Linked DNA regions of Arabidopsis thaliana. The protein of the gene in region 1 interacts with the protein of each later gene in a pairwise test. Each region holds a gene or a part of one and is shown on either strand. Other genes may lie near its edges. The genes, in order: CYCD4;1, ICK3, CAK1AT and AT1G67580.

Region 1 (5,866 bases):
GAGCAAAGTGTTTGTTAAGTTGACATAGGCGTGCATAAAACACGAATTATATATTCACTATACCAAAAAAAAAAGTTATATAGAGAGAGGCAGAAACTTACAAGTTAGAATCTCAGAACACACAAAGAGTAGCAAAACATCAAAAGTGTACTTGGACCACTTTTGTCTGGCATTTCACATTTGCATGCATGAAAGATAATAAAAATCTATAAATAGTTGAGCCTTTTAAGTTTAATTCGGAAAAAAAAACGCTTCATTCTTTTTTTTGCTTTAACTTAAACTTTTGTTTCTTCTCACCGCTCGAAAAGATAATCAAATTTAAAGACAGTAAAAACATCAAAGTTTATTAGCTGACACGTGATTGTCACAATCACGTTATTACTATACTTACTACTACACTACCAACAAAATAAAAGAGCACCTTGGTAAAATGATATAATACATTTCTTTTATATCTTATAAAATTCTACAAACCGAAAGATCAAACATGCTCGCGGTCGTATAGTTTTTTTTTTTTTTAATTTATGTTAAAGGGTTTTTTGCGGTCGTATAGTTGTAGACTTGTTTCTACTTTACAATTTCAAAAAGCTGTGTGTTTTGGTGCGCATCGGTGATTTCTAAAACTTAGTTGGATAAGAATATATTGTATGAACAGGAGTTTATCTTTACAATTTTTTAAGACTCCGACTGATAATGAAGAAACGAGAAAATATGAAAATTGTAAGAATAACAGATATAATATAGAATGAAATTTGATTTTTGAAAGTAAGATAATCGTTTTCAAGGAAAAATTTTCTTTATTATTGCAATGAATTTTGTGTAATTCATTTGCTTCCTACAAAATACGACTTTGTTAACTAAAATGACAATGAGCTAATGTTTGATGTTTCATTCCATAACATGACTATATAGTAGTTGAAAGTTGAAACCAGTGGCTCGATGACTATTTGCCATGTAACCTCAAGCAAGAAATTCTCGTGTGGTGTTTTCAAGCAACTCGTCGCGTAGCTAGCTTTATTTTCATGTGGTAGAAAATTACTAATTACTATTTATAAATAAAAAATACTAATCTCCTTACAAATATACTAATGTAGAATCTTTGGAGGTGATAGAGCACTAGTTATTGACCTCAACTTGCAAGAGAACAAAAATAAATACTTTTATAAATATTAAAAACCTTATAGTTAAATCTTATAAGTTGGGTAAAACAGAAGACAGTATATTTGGGTAAACTAAAACCATATTAAAGAAAGACCATAATGTGTAAAAAACAAAGACCATATTGTGTAACAAACAGAGACCATATTTTGAACTTAAATGAGTATATGACGTAGTTCTTATACAAATATACAGTCTGCTTTTTCATTCAAAGGTATATGCAATGATGATAGATATTGAAATTATTGTGTCTAAAAGTGACCCTAGAATCAAAAAACAGTGGTCAAAGATCTACCAGAGCAAATGGTTCAAATATCATTATAGATGGATTTTGAGTCAAATTTTACATTCAAAACTTCTTTTTATTTGTGGCATGAATTTACATTAGTTTTTTTGGGGTCATTTTTATTTTGTTCAATGTCGGATATTGAAAATAAAATATCATGATTCAGCGTATATTTCGATCATAATATCAAATTGCATTATTTAGTCAAACAATTTTGTTAAAAAATATTTCCTAAGATTTATAGAATTCAATACTGTTTTAAACTATTAGTCAAACTATATATATTTTACTGTTATTAAAACAAGGAATAAAATTATGAAATATCAAAAAATATGTAAAGACATATACTATGATTAAATCTTTCAACATTCAATATTTTACCATTGAATATACAAAAATGTTAACTGTTAACTATGCATACAAGACCGAAATACAAATTCCAAAAAACTTATGGCGCAAATCTGATACCGAACTACCAACGATATTCACTCGATTCATCATCTAAAAACTAAAATACAACGAATAAAACCAACTAACTTTTCAATTCTCACCTCAATTTCCTACCACATTTTCATAATTTTCCAACTTCTCACATTTGTTACCATGATAGTCAATTCACTTTCTAAAATCTTCAAATTTTATCTTACATTTTTCATCTTCTTCACCATTATATATAGCCTCTCTCCTTCTCACACAATCTCCATCTTACCCTAAAAACCACATTTCTTAACTTCCTCAATAAAAAAAAGAAAAGCTTCACCCTTTAATTTTACCCTCAACCCCAAAACAAAAACCCCTTCCTCCACGAGGGCATACAGAAATATCAAAGACCCAATCTTTCTTTCACTTCCCCAATCTCTAGATGACAATCTAACGATACAGTTCCTTTTAGATCGATTACCAAATACAAAGGATCAATTTTTCTTACATGAACACTCTGTTGTAATGGCAGAGGAGAATCTAGAACTGAGTCTTTTATGTACAGAGAGCAACGTTGATGATGAGGGCATGATTGTTGACGAAACTCCGATTGAAATTTCGATTCCTCAGATGGGTTTTTCTCAATCGGAGAGTGAGGAGATTATCATGGAGATGGTGGAGAAGGAGAAGCAGCATTTGCCAAGTGATGATTACATCAAGAGACTTAGAAGTGGAGATTTGGATTTGAATGTTGGAAGAAGAGATGCCCTCAATTGGATTTGGAAGGTCTGATTCTCTATTTGATTTTGATTTCTGGTTTTGAAATTTGGATGTTGATTGGTTTTGAATGATCTGTATAAGCTCAAATTGTGAAAAGCACAATCCTTTTGATGAATGATCTGAACATAAAGAGTGTGTTGCTATGTCTATTAGATCAGAGGCTTATGCAGAACAGATAGAGAGGTTTTGTCTTAAATCTGTAAATCTGATGCTCAATTTCCGATCTTTCACACTTCAATTGACAATAGATTCACTTCAGTCTCAGAGTTTTAGATCTCTAATTGATCTTTTCTTCTGTTCTGATTACAACAGGCTTGTGAAGTACACCAGTTTGGACCATTGTGTTTTTGCTTAGCAATGAACTACTTGGATCGATTCTTATCGGTTCATGATTTGCCTGTAAGTTCACATTGGTTAAACTAAAAGATTGATAATGTTTTTAGCCATTCATCATCAAAAAGTCTCATTTTTTCGCTTCTTGATTTGTGATTCTTCTTGTAGAGTGGCAAAGGTTGGATATTGCAGTTGTTGGCTGTGGCTTGTTTATCATTGGCAGCCAAAATTGAAGAAACTGAAGTTCCAATGTTGATAGATCTTCAGGTTCTCCTCTAAACTCGTTAAATTGTCGAGATGTTCTATTCGACCCGACAATGTCTTGAATCGATTGCGGTTTGATCACATTTCGGAACAGGTTGGAGATCCTCAGTTTGTGTTTGAGGCTAAATCAGTCCAAAGAATGGAGCTTTTGGTGTTGAACAAATTGAAATGGAGATTGAGAGCAATAACTCCATGCTCATACATAAGATATTTCCTGAGAAAGATGAGTAAATGTGATCAAGAACCATCCAACACATTGATATCTAGATCATTACAAGTGATAGCCAGCACAACCAAAGGTGAAAAAAAAAGTCTTTCCTTTATGTTTTATTTTCTTGACCACTTTTGTTTTTGTGCTTTTTTGGGTTTTGTTGTTTTTTTCACTTTTGCTTTTTATGATTTTGGATTAAAATGGTGGTTGTGTCGAGTGAGCAGGTATTGACTTTTTGGAGTTTAGACCTTCTGAAGTTGCTGCTGCTGTGGCACTTTCTGTTTCTGGAGAATTGCAGAGAGTACACTTTGACAACTCTTCCTTCTCTCCTCTTTTCTCACTACTTCAAAAGGTAAAAAACAATCCACCAAACATCTCAAACTCATAAATCTATTGTTTTTTAATACCAAACACACACACACATATAAAGCAGCCTTTGGTGGTTCAATTTCAAGGAAATGCCAGTTGTGGAGAAGTTTGAACTCATTAAAGATGACACATTTATGTGTATATATGTGTGTGCACTAACTTATTCATTGCATACACATAATATGTGTAATTATAAATCCAAAAAGTAAAAAAAAAAAAAAAAAAAAAAAGAGAAACCGGTTAATGGGTCTGAATCCTTTGACTTCCAAAACTAGTGGAGAGTAGACCAAAGACCACTTTAAATTATATTATTCTCTAGCTATGTGTCTTGTGACTCTCTCTGTCACACACACACATTCACTGCACAGCCTCTAGTCACATCTAAAACCAATCTGCCCCCACAAAAACATGTTTGATTCTGATTTGATCTTGCAATCCAAAACATCAGCCTGGTTTCCATTAGTTGTTTTTCTACACCAGAAAAAGCTGAAGAGATCTTTGTGTGTTGTGTTTGTGTTTGTGTTCAAGAGACAAAAACAAAAGTGTCAAGCTTTAAACTTTGTGGTTCCTTTTATTGCAGGAGAGAGTGAAGAAGATAGGGGAAATGATAGAGAGTGATGGCTCAGACTTATGTTCACAAACACCCAATGGGGTTTTAGAAGTATCGGCTTGTTGTTTCAGCTTTAAGACCCATGATTCTTCTTCTTCTTATACACATCTTTCTTAAAAAAAAAACTGTTTTTTTCTTACATTATTATAATCAGTATGATGTCTGATGAGAGGTTGAAAAAAGAGGACAATAAATCAAAGCAAAAATTTTTAAATAAATAAAAGTGTATTAATTTCAATATTTGATTTGTTTATAGCTTTGGTAATACTGAACAAATAAAATTATAAGAATTTTTTGTTGGCAGGAAATAGCAAAAAAGAGAAAGAAAATAAAACAAAGGAAAAACAGAGCTTTTTTTAATTGGTTCCCGCCAAATAAATATAGCGGGAAAAAACCGTATCGGTTCTGTTGAGCGTTAGAGTTGACCTTTTTTAATTCAAACGGTGCCGTTGTGAGATAAAGCGCGCATCGCACTAATGGGCTTAGAATTGGGCCCACGAACAGAAGTCTTTGACTTAAAGTTGACGTAAAGAGACCAAAGCTAGGTTGTGCTTTATGGAGCTTTTGCGTTTTATACCTTTTATCAACAAAACTCCAAAATCCCAATATTTTATTGAAAACTTTTTAACAAAAAATAAATAAAATGATTGGACTCCAGGTCCACTAAACCTCTAGGATCTGTAACTATGAAGAAAATGGGCCAATGCTATATTCATTAAATTTAATCATTTGGGTCTACCATTGTCGCATGGCATACTAGCAATTTGATGATCCTGAAATAAAATAATTGTGCGTGGAGATAATTTATGAAGATTTCCCCTTTTTGTATCATTTTTTAAATAGACATTTTTAATCTGAAAAGGTTAAAAAAAAGTCTCTATACATCATTAAACAAGTCGGTCTAATCTTGTGAAATAGTTGTGTAAGAAAAAAACTTAAATTATGTATTAACAAATGCTAGTTGGTATATATTTTCTTTAAAATAATTACAATTTTAACTCATAACATTTGTTGTATTCAGTTATTTTCTATATGTCTCAATAATCAATAAAATAAATAATGTTAGTAATAACCATCATGTAATTGGTGAATGTGAAAGATCATCTGTCATTGAAAACTTTGTGAATATGATTTTATCACTGCATATACTAGACTTTTAAATTTATTTAGCTTTTCACTAATTATATTAATGGTGTTCAATTTTAGGATCCTAGACACAGTCAAAATTAATCTTCACGGAATGATATATATATATATATATATACGTACATAATTATATGTCTGTGTACGATTGTGTGAAAATTTTGAAATGAAGAAACTATTTGGAGTTGGACAGAGGACTAAGTGAAGACAACAATACAAAACAAATAAACTTTTATAATTCTTTCATTGGGCTTTGTCATAATGAGTCGTCACAGTCATTCAACTGTCCAAA
Region 2 (4,226 bases), on another chromosome or scaffold:
GAAGAGTGTTATTGCAGATCCTTTATTTGTTTTTTGTTTTTTTTGCCTTTATCTCTGATTTTTGGGGATTCGGTAGCGTTCGAGATCTGAGCTGTTGCATGATTGCTGAGAGTCATCGCACGTGTGCCTTCCTTCTTTGTACGGTGAAAATAGTTTTTACCATATTTAAACCGGTTATAAAGTTTTGTTCAGGTTTAAAGTATTATGGGCTAGTAGTGTGATCTTTCGTGTTTGGATGAACTGATGAACAAAGAAATATCTAAAGATTGTACACAGTGTTGGTCATGCATACGATTTGAAGCATATAAAATCATGATTCATGAGAATGTCCCTTTGACATCTTCGATAAAATCATGAGAATTATGAATTATCGCAAGCTTTAAATTTAGAGATTTTTAATGTAATTCATCTTCTTCAATAATAATAAACCTCTCGATTAAGAATAATAAGCACCGGGGCATTGACATTGGGAGCCTCTACTCAGTACTCACCTTGTTGTTGTTTCACGGGTTACATATATATTAATATAAGAAGGCCTTTTAACAAAAATAAATAAATATAAGTCTGATTTAATGTATAAATGTATATCACGTAACAGTAGATTAATTAGTCGCCGCATCACGATTCTTGTTTCAAAGAAACAAAAAAGAATAAGACTGTGTTTGCTACACAAAAGAAATGTAGAAAACCAAATTGAGTCATATATTTACATTTCAGATACTATAAAGTATAAACTAAATTTTATGTAAAGGAAAATTAATTTTTCTATTTAGACGTGAGTATAAGCATGTAGTCAGACCAACTTTATTTGTTCGACAAATTTACCAACAAGTCAACTTTTGAAGCCTAATTTATGAAAGATAATCTCAACTATTACATCACAAAGAGAACGGTTGTTGAGATGATTACATAACTATAAAACTAGAAGCAACCAATATAAATGTCCAATGCTAATAAATCCAAAGAAAATAAATACTTAGGTAAGTGATCAACCCTATGATGTTAATTTTAAGACACTTGTTTACTTAAAAAAAAAAAATTTACAGTCAAATGTATCTGTATACAATTAATGTGTACGTTTTTGTCAAATGTGAAGAATTTAATAGATGGTTGACTCTTTTTTTCTTTTGAACCAATAACCTGCATGACATTTGAAAATCTGAATGCTAGCTTTTGTTTTGGATTGTTTGTACAAAGTTAACGTTGACTTGTCTACCAAATTTTATGAAACAATGAAAATGGATGCAAAAAATGAACTGCCTTATTATCTTAAACCAAAACAAATTTGACACATACAACGATCTTTGCATTATTTAACAAAAATAACTAAAAATTTCCACACGATATCAATTGCTTTATAATCATGGATGGTCTACCAAAGCAATTAATATAAGCTTGATGATCTTTATTCTCAAAGACCTTGTTACTTTCGGCAGCCTTTTATTATTTGTTGCACCAACCACTCATAAACTTTAAATACTATATATATAGTGTATAGAATAATTGGAATATATATTTCCAAAAATGTTCTTCATTTGAGAACTATTATTTTATGTTATTTTGGAGTAACTAAGAATTAATTATATAATATAAGTGAAATATAGAGTCGGAAATATGTCGTTTACTACATGAATTATCAAAAAGTTGTTATTTAATACGTAAATTTTATATATAAACATTTAATATATGTAAAAATTATTGACCGGTTATTTTACACAAACTTAATTGTTTATCAGCCAAAATTTATACCAACGTAAAAAAATTAGATAACATTAACTTAGTGTAAAATAACTTTTTTCTATATATTAAATGATTATATTCAAAGTTTACGTATTAAATGAATATTTTTTAAAAATTTGCGTATTAAACTATATTTTTCTCAAGCAAACTCAAATTAATACTTTAAATATCTCATATATTGTTCATAATTTACTTTTGTAAAGTAGACTTTTAAGTTTTAATCAGATAGAATACAAAAATTAAATTAAATTCCAATTAATTAAATTTTGATTTATCTTTTTTCGAAGAAAATGATGACAATCAGGTGAGAGGGCCTTTGACACCTTAAAAATTTGTCTAATTTGTTTTTTGATTCGATTTTAAAATAAATATTTCCATTGTCCTTTTAGTTTTCACTTTTTCAGATTAAAAATCACTTTTTTCCTCCTCCTTCGTTGCTTCCCTCCTTTCGCTCTCGACCGGAGATTCAGTAAACCACCTTCCCGGAGATGGGAAAATACATTAAGAAGTCAAAAGTCGCCGGTGCCGTTTCCGTTAAGGATAAATCTCACCCACCCGCTCTAGGTTTCCGTACCAGAGCCGCCGCCGCTAAAAACCTCGCCCTCCACCGTCTCCGTTCTCATTCCGACGAAGCAGACTCCTTTAACTACCTCCAGCTCCGGAGCCGCCGTCTCGTGAAGCTTCCATTACTCACTAATACCAGAAAACAGCAGAAGCAACAGCTCATTCCTAGTGTCAATCAATGTCAAACGAAAAACCCTAGGGCTAGTTCCGGTCCGGCGAAGAAATTAGAGCCGGATACGACGACGGAAGAAGCTTGTGGTGATAATGAGAGAATATCTAGGTCTGATTGTAATTTTGGAGATAAAGGTTTTGATTTGGAATCAGAAAACAGGTAACTTTAACTCTGTTTTTTTTTTCATTTTAAAGCTCCAAACTTTTTTTTTTTACTACAATACAGAGATTGAGTTTTGATATGTTGGTTCTCTCATAGGAGCATGATAAGTGATTCAAAATCAATACAAAGTGAGATTGAAGACTTCTTTGCTAGCGCAGAACAGCAACAACAGAGATTCTTCATTCAAAAGTACAAATCCCATTTTCTTTAGTGTCTTGATTCTCTTGAGTTTTTAGAGTTTGGTCTGACTTTGGGGGAGTTATGGTTTTGCAGGTACAACTTTGACATTGTCTCGGACAATCCATTGCCTGGACGTTACGAATGGGTCAAAGTGATGCCATGAAATGAGTTGTGTTCGATGTAAAGTTGTGTGCTTTAGGAAACATCTGTGTTGGAACAGAGGAGATGAAAATTGCACACAGACTAACTTTGTGGGGTTTTAGGGTTGGTGTATAACTTGTTAGTCAAGAATAATGTAATGTTAATCTCTCTCATTTGCTACAAATAAATGTCTAATTTAACTGTCAAGTTACTTAAATTAGTATTGTAAATCTCTTCATTGTTCTTTGGTTACTTCAGTGAAGGTCTGAGTTTTGTGGTTCTGCATTAGAGTTACTTTACAAGTCATATACTTTGGATTCAAGTAGCAAAAGTAGTGAACTTGTCTGAACAAAAACCTTAGTCACAGGTTTTATCTCTATCTTCTTTATTGATAGTTTGATACTCTAATCTCATTGGGCTTTTCACACATGTGGGTACTTGTACCAATTCCTCTGTCATACAGGTTGCAGTAAAATGCTTCGATTAGATTTCATCTCTCTCTTCTTTATTGGCACTGCACTCACTGTCTTGCTTTCTGGAATTATTTCTTCAAAAGTCTAAGTTAGTAGCACCTTTCATGCTAAAGATTAGGTTTCTTGGTTTCTGTAAAATATTTCACCTCTTTAGATCATTTGCTCATCGGATGAATCAAAACATTAAATAATGATGTCTATTCTTATTAGTACAAAGCGTTTAAGACCACTGTGTTATGTCTGATACTAGTACTAAATTCACATGATCATTTACATCTCTGAAGAATCAAAACCTTCTTGGTTTTGTCACCTTTTAACACATGAACAATATTTACTGATCAAGCCCTGCTTCTCCGATGGTTCAGCGTTTTTGTTTGGTTAATTTGTGAGCAAAACTGCAAAAGCAAGTCATAGGATGCTTAGAGTGATTTCATTCTCGTTGATAATAGTTGTATTAAGTAAATACGTAGTCTGTAATATTACAGTACCTGTCATGTTCCATCCCAACTCTACCACCGAAGCTTCACGGAGTTGCAGGTCCTGTACTCAACCTTTGCTTTGTTTCTGACATTTCAACTTCATATACACCCTTGCTTTCAGAAGTTTTACTGTCTTCCATGGCCATCCTCCTGATTTGAGCCTGTTGGATTGCTAGCACCTCATATCTGCAAATAATTTCCATGAACTACCAATGGTTAAACTCATATTTCTCGTGATCTTTATTCATCACTTTGTTACAAGCTAAAAACCCATCTCACTATCTCTATATGAAAGTGGAATCATACACAGAACAA
Region 3 (5,869 bases), on another chromosome or scaffold:
CGGGATCTTGTCTATATCAAAACATTTGCATGAACAACTTTTCATTTTCAAATCCACCAGAAAACTTACCGAGTTGAGATCAATCACGTTGTATTCTTGGTTGTAACTGTTAAGCTCAAACACAGTTAATTTGGCTGCAACTTGACATCTAATGTGCAATATGTTCTCCACAGTAGGCACAACTTGTGCTGTGATTGGACAAGAACCTGAAGCTTGCCTATGCTCGTTGAACCATTCAGAAAACTTAGAAATCATCACATCAATCATTGGTAACAAGTGGTATTTTCTCGCTTTTTTAAACACACCATTAATGGACTCCGCAGAATTACTAGTGTCAATGTTATACTTGTCTCCTTTAAAATGGCACCTCGACCATTTCTCAAACCCTACTTTCACAAGAAAGTCAGCAGCTTTAGGCCATAAACTTGTAAAATGACCAAACTCTTTCTCGAACTCACTCTCAGTATATGCATGAGCACAATCCCTGAACTTGACAGCAGCTCCATCCTTGTCAATTGTCACACGATCTCTCATGTTTTGACACAAATGCCATATACAAGCTGCATGAAGCGCATTCGGGTACACCGTCTTGACAGCCTTCTTTATGCTTTGATGCCTATCACTAATAAAGACCAATCCGGGAACATCCGAATATACAGTTTTCAGCTTTTCTAAGAACCAAATCCAACTTACATCCTTCTCGCTATCAATGATTCCAAACGCAAGTGGATAATGATGATGATTAGGATCTTGTGCTGTTGCAATAACCAACATCCCACCATACACAGTTTTAAGATGAGTTGCATCCACAACTATCACTTTCCGCATTGCCCTAAAACCTTCAATGCAAGCGCCTAATGCAATGAAGAGGTACTTGAACTTTTTCTCTCCTTCCAACTCCACATAAGTTACTGTCCCTGGATTTACCTTCTCTAACATGTAAAGATAAGAAAATAACATCGTGTAGCTTCTTTCCGGAGTCCCTCGCACATCACTAACATGTAGCATTTTGCCTCTTAAGGCAGTGGAGTATGAACAATGCACCCCAAGTCTTCCTCTTACAATCGACATAATGTTTTTTGGAGTTGGGGTCTCTAAATTTCCGGGATAATCACAATGTAAAACCGATGCTATTAATCTTGGTGTGCCTCGCTGTATACTGTTGCTTGTAGTCTCAACACTCCGAGAGCATGTATGCATCTTTCTATGCACTCTAACACTCCAAAAATGAGATTTTTTAGTTCTCGCAACTCTTAGATACCAAGTACACCCTTTAGAAGCTTGGCGGCATCGTAGCATAAGTCTCAACGGGTCTGACTTAATAGTATAGACTCCAAAAACTTCTTTCTTTGCAGCTCTGTTAACCAATTCCCACACAGCCTCCCTTGAACAAAATTCTTGACCAATTTCAATACCCGTACCATCATCCCATTCTATAACCTGCGGAGTAACTTCTACACTTCGTGGAATATCGTGAATATCATCATAATCAATCCTATCATCCTCATCTTGTTCCTCAACAGAATTCACCGGCCTTTCCATCGGCCTTTCGATAGCCACGATCTCCGTACCTACTACATTCTCACAATCATTCACATCATTATCATATCCATCATGCACCATCTCACATACTTCATTTAAAACATCATCCTCTATTACATTTACACCAACTGAACTTCGACGCTCCGGTACAGAAATTTCCTCTCTCCTCTCAACTCCTATACCATTTAATTCCTCCACATGCAAAACAGGAATCCGACTCTCTTCATCAGATTCTGTTAAAAATATGAAGACATCCTCATCATTTACAATATATGTCTCTCTCCTAACTTTAGACAGATTGTAACTCAGTTTCAACTTGACAGAAGCTTCATCAATCGCAACCTTCTTCATGATCTTGTCAACTAACATCGAATAGCTAATCTTCTCCAAACTACTCGTCTTAAACGATATAACATATAGTGAATTTTTACCAATCCACTCATTCACTTCAGAATAGTATCCTCCAAAGTCAAAATGTACCTTAGTGTGGATCTTCTTCTTCATCGCTCCTGAAAATACAACCAGTTCAACTCCAATCAAACATTTTAATAGTTATACCACATGTACTCTTATCATACGTTGAAATCAATCTCTCGTCGCACTCGTCTCTACTGAACCTAATTCGTTACCTTTCAATTGATTTCCAATGTTAATACATACCTATTCGTTAAACTAATTGGTTAATCTAAACTTTGCAAACACAAACCCCCCAAATCTTTAATATGAAATCTCGGAATTCAAATTCAACTCACATTCAACCTACATTCCTTTGCTCATCACCTCAAATAACGTTTCGGCAACCTCTAATCGATTACTCTTTACTTTGCAAACCAATCATCAAACTATCAAATTGAATCGAGCTGGGAATTATATAGAATTCAAAATCCCAATCTAAAATCACAATGCACCAATGTCAAAGGAAATATGAGAAGAAACTGACCTAATTCGTGGCTTTTACGCCGGATTTCAAGTCGGCGGCATGAGGAAATCGATGGTGGCCGACGAAGAAGATGAACGTCGACCAAAGAAGAAGAACACGACGACGAAGAGGAGAATCTCCGAACTCGATTTTCTTTATTTAGCTTTTGAATTTCTTTTTCATTTTTTTAATCAACTCATTAAGGGTACAACTGGTATATCACATTTTCGGTGGCATTCAGATTAACTTATGGCAGTCCAGATCAGTTTTTTCAAAAAAGTGGCATAAGTGATAAAAGTCCCCCCCTGCGGTTTGGTTTCTTGTCCGCTCCAAAACTTGTGAGGGCATTTTAGTCATTACAACATGGGAACTGGATTTTTAAACTGGTGAATTCGTTAGCGTTTATGTGAATAATCATCCATCATCAGGAAAGATCCGAAGAAAAGCGACGCCGTTTTAAAGGAGATGGATAAACAACCGGCGACCAGTTGGAGTATCCATACCCGGCCGGAGATAATCGCCAAGTACGAGATCTTCGAGCGAGTCGGATCCGGAGCTTACGCCGACGTTTACAGAGCTCGCCGTCTCTCCGACGGTCTAATCGTCGCGCTCAAGGAGATTTTCGATTACCAATCTGCGTTCCGGGAGATTGACGCGCTCACCATCCTCAATGGATCTCCTAATGTAGTTGTTATGCACGAATACTTCTGGCGTGAGGAAGAGAACGCTGTGCTTGTGCTTGAGTTTCTTAGGTCGGATCTCGCTGCGGTGATCCGAGATGGTAAGAGGAAGAAGAAGGTAGAAGGAGGGGATGGATTCTCGGTTGGGGAGATTAAGAGATGGATGATTCAGATTTTAACCGGTGTTGATGCTTGTCATCGGAATTTGATTGTACATAGAGATTTGAAGCCTGGGAATATGTTGATTTCTGATGATGGAGTTCTTAAGCTTGCTGATTTTGGTCAGGTGAGATTATGATTGTTACTGATTGTGTTAGTTATTTCATTGTTTGATGCACAAATATGAGAAACCTCTGAATGAAAAATGCTTGGTTTGCTTGAAATTTGGAAGAGTTAGTGTAATCAAGTGGCTAGACCTTATCATTTAGTGTAATCTATGAGTTTCTAAATGTGTGTTGGCTTCTTGGTTCATATACAGGCTAGGATACTCATGGAGCATGATATTGTAGCTTCAGATGAAAACCAACAAGCTTACAAACTGGAAGACAAAGATGGAGAAACCAGCGAACCACCAGAAGTTATTCCTGATTATGAGAACTCACCTAGGCAAGGGTCTGATGGTCAGGAACGGGAAGCGATGAGTAAAGACGAGTACTTCCGACAGGTGGAAGAGCTCAAGGCTAAACAGGTTGTTAGAGATGATACTGATAAGGACTCGAATGTGCATGATGGAGACATATCTTGCCTTGCAACGTGCACTGTTAGTGAAATGGATGATGATCTCGGTAGGAACTCGTTTTCTTACGATGCTGACGAAGCAGTGGATGATACACAGGGTTTGATGACATCTTGTGTGGGAACCCGATGGTTTAGGCCACCAGAACTGCTCTATGGATCTACGATGTATGGGTTAGAGGTCGATCTATGGTCGCTTGGTTGTGTGTTTGCAGAACTCTTGTCTCTTGAGCCTTTGTTCCCAGGAATTTCAGATATTGATCAGATCAGCAGAGTGACCAATGTGCTGGGAAATTTAAATGAAGAGGTCTGGCCTGGTTGTGTTGATCTTCCAGACTACAAGTCAATCTCATTTGCTAAAGTAGAATCTCCTCTTGGTATTGAAGGATGCCTTCCCAACCATTCAGGGGATGTGATATCGCTGCTCAAGAAGCTTATCTGTTATGATCCAGCTAGTAGAGCTACTACTATGGAGATGCTGAATGACAAATATTTAAGTGAAGAGCCTCTTCCAGTTCCAGTTTCAGAGCTCTATGTGCCTCCGACAATGAGTGGACCAGATGAGGATTCTCCGAGAAAGTGGAATGATTACAGAGAAATGGATTCAGATTCAGATTTTGATGGCTTTGGACCCATGAATGTAAAGCCTACCAGTAGTGGATTTACAATAGAATTCCCCTGACCTTGGCATTTAAGGTACGCAGTCAAAAGCTCTGGCTCGCTTAAACACATAAATCAGTCTCTTCTCTCTCTCTCTTTCTTCTTCAAAGAGAATGGGTATATACCAAAACCTGACATGTGTTTCTTTAGGTCTTGATTGATGCAACACTCTTTGTTGTTTGAAGATCTTGTTACAGAATACCGCTTAGAAAATTGTTAACTTTTCGTTAGGACATTGTTTAGGTATCAATGGCGGCAAAAACTTTTGAAATTCGTTTGCTCATTGATCTCACAACTTTTTTTTGCGCTTTGTTTCTCTCATCGATCTCAGTTTTATGTGTTTATCTCTCCTTGGCAGAGTCCATGGTTGAGCATCTTGATCATCCCGACTTCCCCTGAATTCGCCTACTTTGTCAAAAATGTGTTGTGTGTGTGTGTGTGTTGTTCCTCTCTCTCTGCCTCCCTCGTATGAAAATGGTAACATTTACAATTGGAAAGTCGGTGTTAGCCTTTAGCTATTAGCTGAAGAGCTAGTTTTCTTGTTGCCCAGGCCATTCTTTACCCTATTTTTCATCTGAAGTAACAATGAAACAAAATCTATATATACTCGAGTTTTGCTTTCTAGGATCTGTATTTCTTAATTGTTTCTATATTTTGATCAATTTTGAACTTTTCATATCAAGTTATCAACATGTGTAGTAGCAACCCTTCAATAATGAGACCATGGAATAAAAGCCTATCCTATATGTCATCCAGTTTTTGCTAAGATAAATTATTTTCAGTTACCCAAATTACATAATCAAAACTGATATCATAAACAACAAAAATAGCACACACAAAAATCATAACTGAATCTGATTCTTCCAGAAATGTGAACTGTTGTTTACTATAAAAAGAAGAAAACCAGAACCACAATACATTTGACTCCATGAATCAGTCATACTAGTCCAACATACTAAATATAAAACTTAAGGGGCAATATTGAAAATTAGACAAAAGTTGATAGACCAAAAGATAAATTAATAACAGTTACCAGTATCTATCGCCAAGTCTCCCCTAGGGTTTTTTTTCTCTGAAACGGACATCGAGAAATTCCAGGAGTGAGTTTTGACAATCGGAGAGAAATGGGGTCGACAGAAAAAGAGCAGACGACGCAACATCACCCGCCTCACATCAGCAGTCTCGTCGTACGTCCCTCCGGAAGCAACGACAGAGAAGACGGCCGCAACGCCGCCGGAGACTATGAGCCCGGAGAAGTCTCTCGTGACCGGCCTTCGTTTAATCGCTCGGATCGGTATAAGGGTGACAATGGTGGTTCGTATCTCTTCTAAAC
Region 4 (7,492 bases), on another chromosome or scaffold:
GCAGCAACAAAAATATCACACAGAGCTCAAGCAATAGCATCAGTTGCAAGTAGATGGCATGCGATGATGTCTTGCTCGTCTACAGATTCAACTCAGATAAGGGCATCTCCTAGTGGAGTTCATTTGGAGGCTACCACGAATCCGCCCATCTCCTTTCCGATTTCCCGTTCAGATAGTGATGTGGAATCAATGGATCACTACATGAGGATGCCTGTTACTAACCAGTTTCCTTCTTATATGTCCATGTCCTCATATCACAAACGACAAGCTTTCGGTGAGATTTGTTTCGCCCTTTTTTACTTGTACCTTTACAGCTAAACTCAGATATGATGATAGCTAATTAGATGATATGTTGCAGTGTTGTATTTGCAGATGAATCCAGGCGGGATAACGATATTCGGGTGGACAGTAGACAGGCATTTGATAAACACAATATTCTTCATTGAGCTCTCTCTAGTTACTTTTGTACTCGGCAAGACTGTAGTTTTCGGTACTGAATGACCAAAAAAAAAAAGGGTTGGTGTATCATGCATTATTGCATAGCTTTTTTACCTTCTGCCATATAGTGAGATTCTTCAATTGATAGGAGAAGATATACTTACATGAGCGTCTCTTAACTTTTTTTTTTTTTTTTTTTCCCGCGAGCCTCTCTTAACTTGGTTACGTGAAGAGTGTACAAAGCTATATTGTACTAGATGGAGGAGGAGTTTCTTGATCTTGATCCTGTTGTTGGACTCGTCGTTTTTGTAAAATCCATACTTGTTCACTCTCAAAATATGTCCGAACATTTGGATTTTTTATAAATAATATCATATTTTATGGCAATTTGCAAATTTATAACATATGGAGTAAATTGTAAATTATATAATTAAAAGGTATTAGTATATAAATAGAAATAGAATATTTCTAAAAATATTCTTTTTTAGACTAGAAAATAGAAATATACATTGGAGAGAAAGCAACTCTATTTTAGAGTAAGATATAGAGCTATACATTGGAGATTGTCTTACAAAACAAGCACTGTCAGAAAGCCATAGCACTAACTGGCCAGCCTAGCTTGTGAACACATTAAACCTGCAAGGATTCTCAGTGGCGAAAGGAGGAAAATCATCTTCACAAATCACCACGGACCCTCAAAGTGAATAAAGAAAGCATGAATGATATTCTGAGATACAAATATTCCAACCTCCGCTTAAGCAGCAGCCCTCGCCTAAAATGTGGTAATTCCAAGGTATTTGAGAATATCAAGGTTGTATTCCAACTGCTATCTTCGACCGGTGTGCTGTACTTCAGCCAAACAGACCGCCAGACCCAAGTTCGGTTTGCGTTAATTCCTTCCTACGTTGCTCTTCCAAAGGATCAGGGCTCTTTACCATTCTCCTCCCACGCCTAGGCATAGAAGAAAAAGTAAGAGACAGAATTAAAGTCAACCACTGATCGTTTCAGTTTAGATAGACCTCAGTACCTGTCTTGGGCATGTTGAGCAGGAAAAGTAGGCATGAAATCTTTGGATTTTGGCAGAGGGACTTCGCGGAACCAATCATGCTTTAGAGCTTCATTAACAGTTATTCTCTGCAGAAGAAGCCACAGAGATCCAAAAGTCAAGGAACAATTAAGGTGCATACTGGATTAACATGCATGCAACAGATATATATTTTCTATTACCCTTTCAGGATCGTACGTTAGGAGCTTGTTCAGTAAGTCAAACCCAGCATCGGACAGAACTGGTGCACCAGTGAACGAAGTGGCTGGGAATTTCTTACGTAATAGGTTATACCTAAAAGTACAGGTAAGCGGTGAGAAGAGTGACATAACAACTATGAAAACAATATAAATCCACTAATGAGTCAGAGAGCCACACCACATCATCTAAAGCTAGAAAGCCTGGGAACAATATTAGAGACTTTAAGCATATACTAAGGTTATCCTTCCATATAAACTGAAAATAAAAGGAACTATAAATACTTACTGATGCTTGACAAAGTTGACCTTGACTCCAGGTAGTTTAGAGAACCCAGGCCAAATAGATTCATTGGGAGTACCAAGGATTCTGAAAATCTGTAAATTAAAGAAGGAGTAATTTATAAGCTGTATGTGGTCCCAGGATGGCTGGAGATCCAAATCAAAACCGATGTTTAAAATACCTTGTCAAGTTGATCAAACTCCGTTTTCCCATTGAACAATGGCGCCTTCATTAATAGTTCTGCCATGATACAGCCCAGTGACCACATGTCAATGGCTGTAGAATATTGTTTTGCTCCCAAGAGAAGTTCAGGTGCCCTGGAAAAACAAATGCAGTCGTTGGGCTTGGTCCCGGAGGAAGTGATTATTGCTAAAACAAGAAGGGAGAGTCAACACAAGGAACAAAACAAGTCAAGGAAGTTGAAGCACGTATATTTCCTAATGTGCCCAGATTACGTTGGTTCATGGTACGTGGTGTCCAAGCAAATACCGCAAAAGTGTTAAGTATTTAATGGCTAAGCTGGCATATTATGAAGACTATTCTCAAAGAGGAAAGATAAGGATCCAAGGCAGTCACAAAACTCAAGTTTGTGGTGCCATTGGAACAAATATCAGATACCTTGGAACACCATTTAAAAACAGGACTTTAAAATCATTGATCCTAATGTGCAGAAATAGAAAAGGGAGTACGGTGTAGTACAGCTATACCAGAAAGGAGACGTGGCACCTAATGTTATACTAACAATGGCCAAAAAAAAACAAGAAAGTCCACCAGAATTCAAATAACAATCGTAAATGTAAACACCACTTAATTTTTTTATAAACAAGAATAGGGTAAAAACGCACTTTACCTGTACCAAAGCGTAACAACCAGATGAGTATAAGGCTTGAGCGGGCTGCCATATTGCCGAGCCAAACCAAAGTCACATATCTTCAACTCACCCCGATTGTTTAAAAGCAGGTTAGATGTTTTCAAATCTCGATGAAGCACCCAGTTGTCGTGAAGATACTTGACGCCCTCTAAAAGTTGAAGCATTAAGCACTTAACTTCACTTTGACTAAAACGCTGCTTCATTGTCTCCATCAATGCTTTAAGATCATGTTCCATGTATTCCATCACCATGAATATGCTATCAAGGCTGCTACCCACGACCACCTCTTTAACATCCACTATTGATGGATGATGAAAAGAAAGGAGGATGTTAATTTCCCTAAGAGAAGTCAATGGAAAACCTTCTCTTTCTTTTTCCATCTTCACCTTCTTCAATGCCACAATTTCGCCTGTCTTCTTATCCTTTGCTCTATAAACAACACCATAAGTACCTTCATCGATCTTATTTAACCTCTCAAATTCATCAACACTTCTACAACCCTGGAGCATGTTTATACTTCTCAGTGGAGTACTGGCAGGTTCAGGTGTCTCATGCCGTACATATTCGTCATCTGAATCTGTTTCACTAAGGCTGTCAACAGAGTTTTCTCTTCTGTGTTCCTCCTCATCTATTTCCATCTTGTCACTCTTAACAGCATCTCTCTCCTCAAAATCATCTCTGCTTCCCGGTAAAGAATGGTGCCCCCTTTCATCGGAATCAGATGATCTATAACCTTCCCTCACTAACTCCCCGACCTCAGGTGTTTGAGAGGTATTGCGAAATCTCCCCTGCACGGGAAATGGTTTCTTCCTCCTTTTCTTTTCCCCAACTTCTTCTACTATTTCAACTTCATCAGTTGGAGAACTATTACCAGCAGCCCACCTAGAGGATGATATATGCCGTGTTGGCATGTTTTCATCCTCTTCCAGGTGTGTTGCATGCTCTTGTTTGTCATCCTGCTCAGCATTTGATGACTGTTCTACCACACACAAAGAGGACATCTCTACCGAAGGTGACAAAGCAGGCATAGAAACCGCAGAAACACCAACTTCCACAGGATCTTGATGCATGTCACTCTTTGCAGGTGAATAATGAGAATTACCACCACAACTGACACTAGGTGACTGGCTTGACCTCTTAACTAGTGGTGGTGGGGGAGGAAGAGGAGTGACCTCCACAGGTTTTTCATTTCTGCTCAAATTACTTCTCTCATGGTCATCCCTATCCCATACTATTGGTGAAAACTTTCTCTTCTTTTCCACAGGACTTTGAGCTCTATTCTCTACCTCCTTCACAACTCCATTAACTTTCGCCAGTGATTCCGACTCAATCAAATCATCCGACCCACTCTCACTAGAGAGCTCGCCTGGTTCCCTGTCCACAGACCTAGCTGAAAACCCGCATCTTTTAGGACCAAGATCGATAAATACTTCTCTACTACCTGGATTGCTCTTCGATAACCGAAACCCACTACTAACCATTTTGTTCTCTTCCTGTCTAGCTCCAGACTTAATTCTATCTCTATCCCCGTGTCTTAGATTACTAACCCGTCCCTTTCCATTATCAATAGCACCGTTCCTAACATGATTATAATCCTCGTTCGCATAAGCACTATCCCGCCTGGAAAATCTAGAATTCGATTCCTGGTCTCTCAGTTCATGGTCTGGATATCTTATATTCCTCCCAGCCGCCATACAGAACTTCGGTGAGAAAGGGACCCAAACAAACCCAAAATCCTAATTTGACGAACTCTTAAATCTGCTACTAGCTAGCTGTGTTCAAAATCAGAATTGCAGAGACTAAACCTTGAGATTTCAAAAGTTGAATTACGCACCGATTTAACAGCTACTTGCGATCAAATCGCTTACAATTGAAGCAGAACTTGTGATCAGAACCGCGAAACCCTAGAAACCGAAAGCGAGACCCGTGGATACGGAGGAAGAGAGGACGAAACGAGAAGAGAACTCAGAATTGGAAAGTGAAAATACGATTGATAAGGAGTTCGTAAAGTTCCGATTGACGACGGGTGGATATAGATTACCGTGGAGAGGGAACGAACAATGGCGGAGAGAGAGAGAGAGAAGAAAGTTTCTCGTCGAAAGCTCAAAGCTTTAGGTCTCTAAAATCGTGTTTTTGTATTCGCCCCCTCTATTTTATTGTTTTAGTATAAGGAGCCCCTTGATGAAAAAAAAAAAGGTATAAGGAGCCCCTAACTTTTGTAATTAATCAATGTGTTTCTTTTTATTTTTATCTCTAAAATATTTTAAAACTTCTACGACAATATTATTGAAACCAAAAATATATTTATTTATTTAAATTTAACATGTTATGGTCTTGAGTTTTTTTTTTGGTAGGCTGTTATTGTTTGAGTTTTTATCGTGAGATTTTACCATCAAATTGGCAAAACAATTTTATTTTCGTGGGATAGTCACACGACTCACACCCAAAATTAATCGAATTATTGTCATCTTAACCACAAAGACTATTATCTTGAAAGTCGATGTTGGAGCACTTGGAACATAAGAACAATCTCATTGATGATTTCTAAACATAAGTCTTTTATTTTAAAGAAAGAAAATTTATTATAAAAGAATGTGTGGGCTTTTTGATTAGTGAAAAAGTCATCTCTAAAATACCTTATATAGGAAATTTTGGAGAGAATTTCTTAACTATTCAAGAAACTCACATAGTTAGATAATATTATTTTTGTTGTTTTAATGTTAAGAAACTTATATCTAGAAACCACAAATAAAATTGCTCTAAGACATGAAAACCTTAATATTACCATCAAATCATTTAAATCAAAAAACATATGTTAATTTTTGGAGTCATGTTAACTTTGATAATTATGTACCTAATATTGCCGAAGGCCAGTCAAAACTAAAATGTCTAATTTCAATGTCCGAAAAAATGATTGTCACGGTTTGTGGCTGCATAATGTTTAGGGGACCACATAAACCGTTTTAGAACATTATGAATATTCATAATCTCTCAATCACGAACTAATCATTTCTCTTCTTGTTTGTGTTCATGACTAGCTTGGTCGAAACATATGAGTCATCTTTCATTCTAGACTTCAATTTTTTTGCTCTTTACAAAATTTGACAATCAAAATCACTATCAAGTACTAGTACTATTCCATCATATCTGAGATTATCTTTATTTGATTTGTGTGGATGTCGTAATCCGCAATTAGAATTTTGTGGTTGTTTCGTGAAGGTCTTAAATCTTGTTAGACGAACAGTGATCAAGTGAAAAGTATTTATGTATTTCAGTATAGTTTCAGTACAATGTGTATCCCCTTTTACAATGTCAATTGACTCTTATTTATACAAATACATCGAATCAAACGAGTTAAATGATTCGCTGACTTCACGCCGCGGATCTCGCCTCATTAACTTCGCACGTTACGAGTCGTCAGCTCGGATCGTAAATGCTTATCATTTAAGTTGAGATTCCTCCGTTACCAAATTAATGTCGGATCAACCTTTGAACTGCTGGGCTTACATTGTGCCTTAAAGCCGGGCCTGACCTTATCTTAGAAGCCCAAAATTGCGGGGTCGGGCCAAATGCGAGATCAGACATCTGGTAAAAAGCCCAAAACTTTTGCTTTACCGGTCACATCAAAGATTATGAGTTTCCCCAAATGTGTTTGTGTCAATTAAAAGGTTAGCGACATAGTTTTAAGTGAAGTTAGCAATTAAAGTGCGGATAGTTGGCCACTCGTGGGACCTTGATTAACTTTGAGAGTTCTTGGCTCAATTTCTTTTATCTACTTCCCCAAACAAAACTTTTTTTTTTTTTTTTGCGTTAGTTATTGAATATCACTAAATCCATACGATTACATTCTAATGAAAATAGACAATTATTGACACCAACAACGAGAGGGAAGCTTAAAGGAGAAAGAAAAAGAAGAAGGCAAGTGACCACTCCTCCTTATATAATCAGCTTTCTCCGATGTCTTCACCGCCTTTTCGTTTAACTTAGCCTCCGCATTCGCCCTCCTCTCTTCCGCTATCCTTTTCGTCGCAGCTAGCTTGTTGGCCAACTTCTCCTCTGCCCTTGCTTTCATCCTCTCCGCCTTCACCTAAACACACGTTCACACATTGTTTTAAAACCTTTTCAATCCATAACGTTATTTTTCTCTTTAACAATTAATAGATCCAATCCATATCAAACCAATCCACACTACTTTGTCTTTTAAAAAACTAAAAAAAGACTGAACCGAAATTCGGATTGAACACGTGTTGACAACTCTCTTTCCACAATTAGACAGAACATCTTACCTCCATTTTCTTCATCTCCATCTCAGCCTTTCTCTTCTCGTGATTCTCCCAAGCTTGTATCTTCACTTCCTCTCTCTTATACCTAATTCCACACAAAAAAAAAAAACTCTCAAACACGAATCACATTAACACATATTAAAATCAACCATAAATTTAACCAATTAACGTTAATCACCTAGCCATGAATTTAGCACGTTCTGCTTCATCCCAAGCCATGGCTCGAGCTTCCATAGCACTCATAGCCTTCTTACTCTCCACAAAACCATTAACCTTCTCACTATTATTACTCTCTACCCTCCTAACCTCCGTCACCGTCTCCATCACAACCCCCACCGCCTCACCACGTTGTGAAGCCCTCACCGGTGAAGTCAC

What was found.
Region 2: the proteins of CYCD4;1 (region 1) and ICK3 interact in a protein complementation assay, tested with the Arabidopsis thaliana proteins (one large-scale study listed by BioGRID).
Region 3: the proteins of CYCD4;1 (region 1) and CAK1AT interact in a protein complementation assay, tested with the Arabidopsis thaliana proteins (one large-scale study listed by BioGRID).
Region 4: the proteins of CYCD4;1 (region 1) and AT1G67580 interact in a protein complementation assay, tested with the Arabidopsis thaliana proteins (one large-scale study listed by BioGRID).

Annotation. Positions count from the first base shown.
Region 1 is NC_003076.8:26,140,274-26,146,139, reverse strand, and holds CYCD4;1 (CYCLIN D4;1), read left to right. Parts: upstream 1-2,146; 5' UTR 2,147-2,389; coding exon 2,390-2,650; intron 2,651-2,797; coding exon 2,798-2,827; intron 2,828-2,956; coding exon 2,957-3,043; intron 3,044-3,145; coding exon 3,146-3,244; intron 3,245-3,335; coding exon 3,336-3,540; coding exon of another isoform or gene 3,541-3,614; intron 3,615-3,676; coding exon 3,677-3,804; coding exon of another isoform or gene 3,805-3,840; exon of another isoform or gene 3,841-4,027; coding exon of another isoform or gene 4,028-4,030; exon of another isoform or gene 4,031-4,401; coding exon 4,402-4,548; 3' UTR 4,549-4,670; downstream 4,671-5,866. UniProt on the Arabidopsis thaliana protein: May activate cell cycle in the root apical meristem (RAM) and promote embryonic root (radicle) protrusion.
Region 2 is NC_003074.8:9,058,762-9,062,987, forward strand, and holds ICK3 (Cyclin-dependent kinase inhibitor family protein), read left to right. Parts: upstream 1-2,074; 5' UTR 2,075-2,228; coding exon 2,229-2,635; intron 2,636-2,734; coding exon 2,735-2,827; intron 2,828-2,911; coding exon 2,912-2,981; 3' UTR 2,982-3,242; downstream 3,243-4,226. Other genes in the region: AT3G24820 (BSD domain-containing protein), read right to left, coding at 3,956-4,097. UniProt on the Arabidopsis thaliana protein: Inhibits CYCD2-1/CDKA-1 complex kinase activity without interaction with the complex.
Region 3 is NC_003075.7:14,285,545-14,291,413, forward strand, and holds CAK1AT (CDK-activating kinase 1AT), read left to right. Parts: upstream 1-2,852; 5' UTR 2,853-2,926; coding exon 2,927-3,427; intron 3,428-3,619; coding exon 3,620-4,558; 3' UTR 4,559-4,572; exon of another isoform or gene 4,573-4,894; 3' UTR 4,895-5,369; downstream 5,370-5,869. Other genes in the region: AT4G28990 (RNA-binding protein-like protein), read left to right, coding at 5,661-5,850. UniProt on the Arabidopsis thaliana protein: CDK-activating kinase that modulates CDKD-2 and CDKD-3 activities by phosphorylation of the T-loop. Activates CDKD-2 C-terminal domain (CTD) kinase activity. Activates CDKA-1 probably by phosphorylation.
Region 4 is NC_003070.9:25,326,438-25,333,929, forward strand, and holds AT1G67580 (Protein kinase superfamily protein), read right to left. Parts: upstream 5,025-7,492; 5' UTR 4,529-5,024; coding exon 2,814-4,528; intron 2,281-2,813; coding exon 2,145-2,280; intron 2,059-2,144; coding exon 1,970-2,058; intron 1,778-1,969; coding exon 1,666-1,777; intron 1,573-1,665; coding exon 1,466-1,572; intron 1,390-1,465; coding exon 1,290-1,389; 3' UTR 845-1,289; downstream 1-844. Other genes in the region: AT1G67570 (zinc finger CONSTANS-like protein (DUF3537)), read left to right, coding at 1-274, 359-501; AT1G67590 (Remorin family protein), read right to left, coding at 6,700-6,921, 7,121-7,202, 7,296-7,492.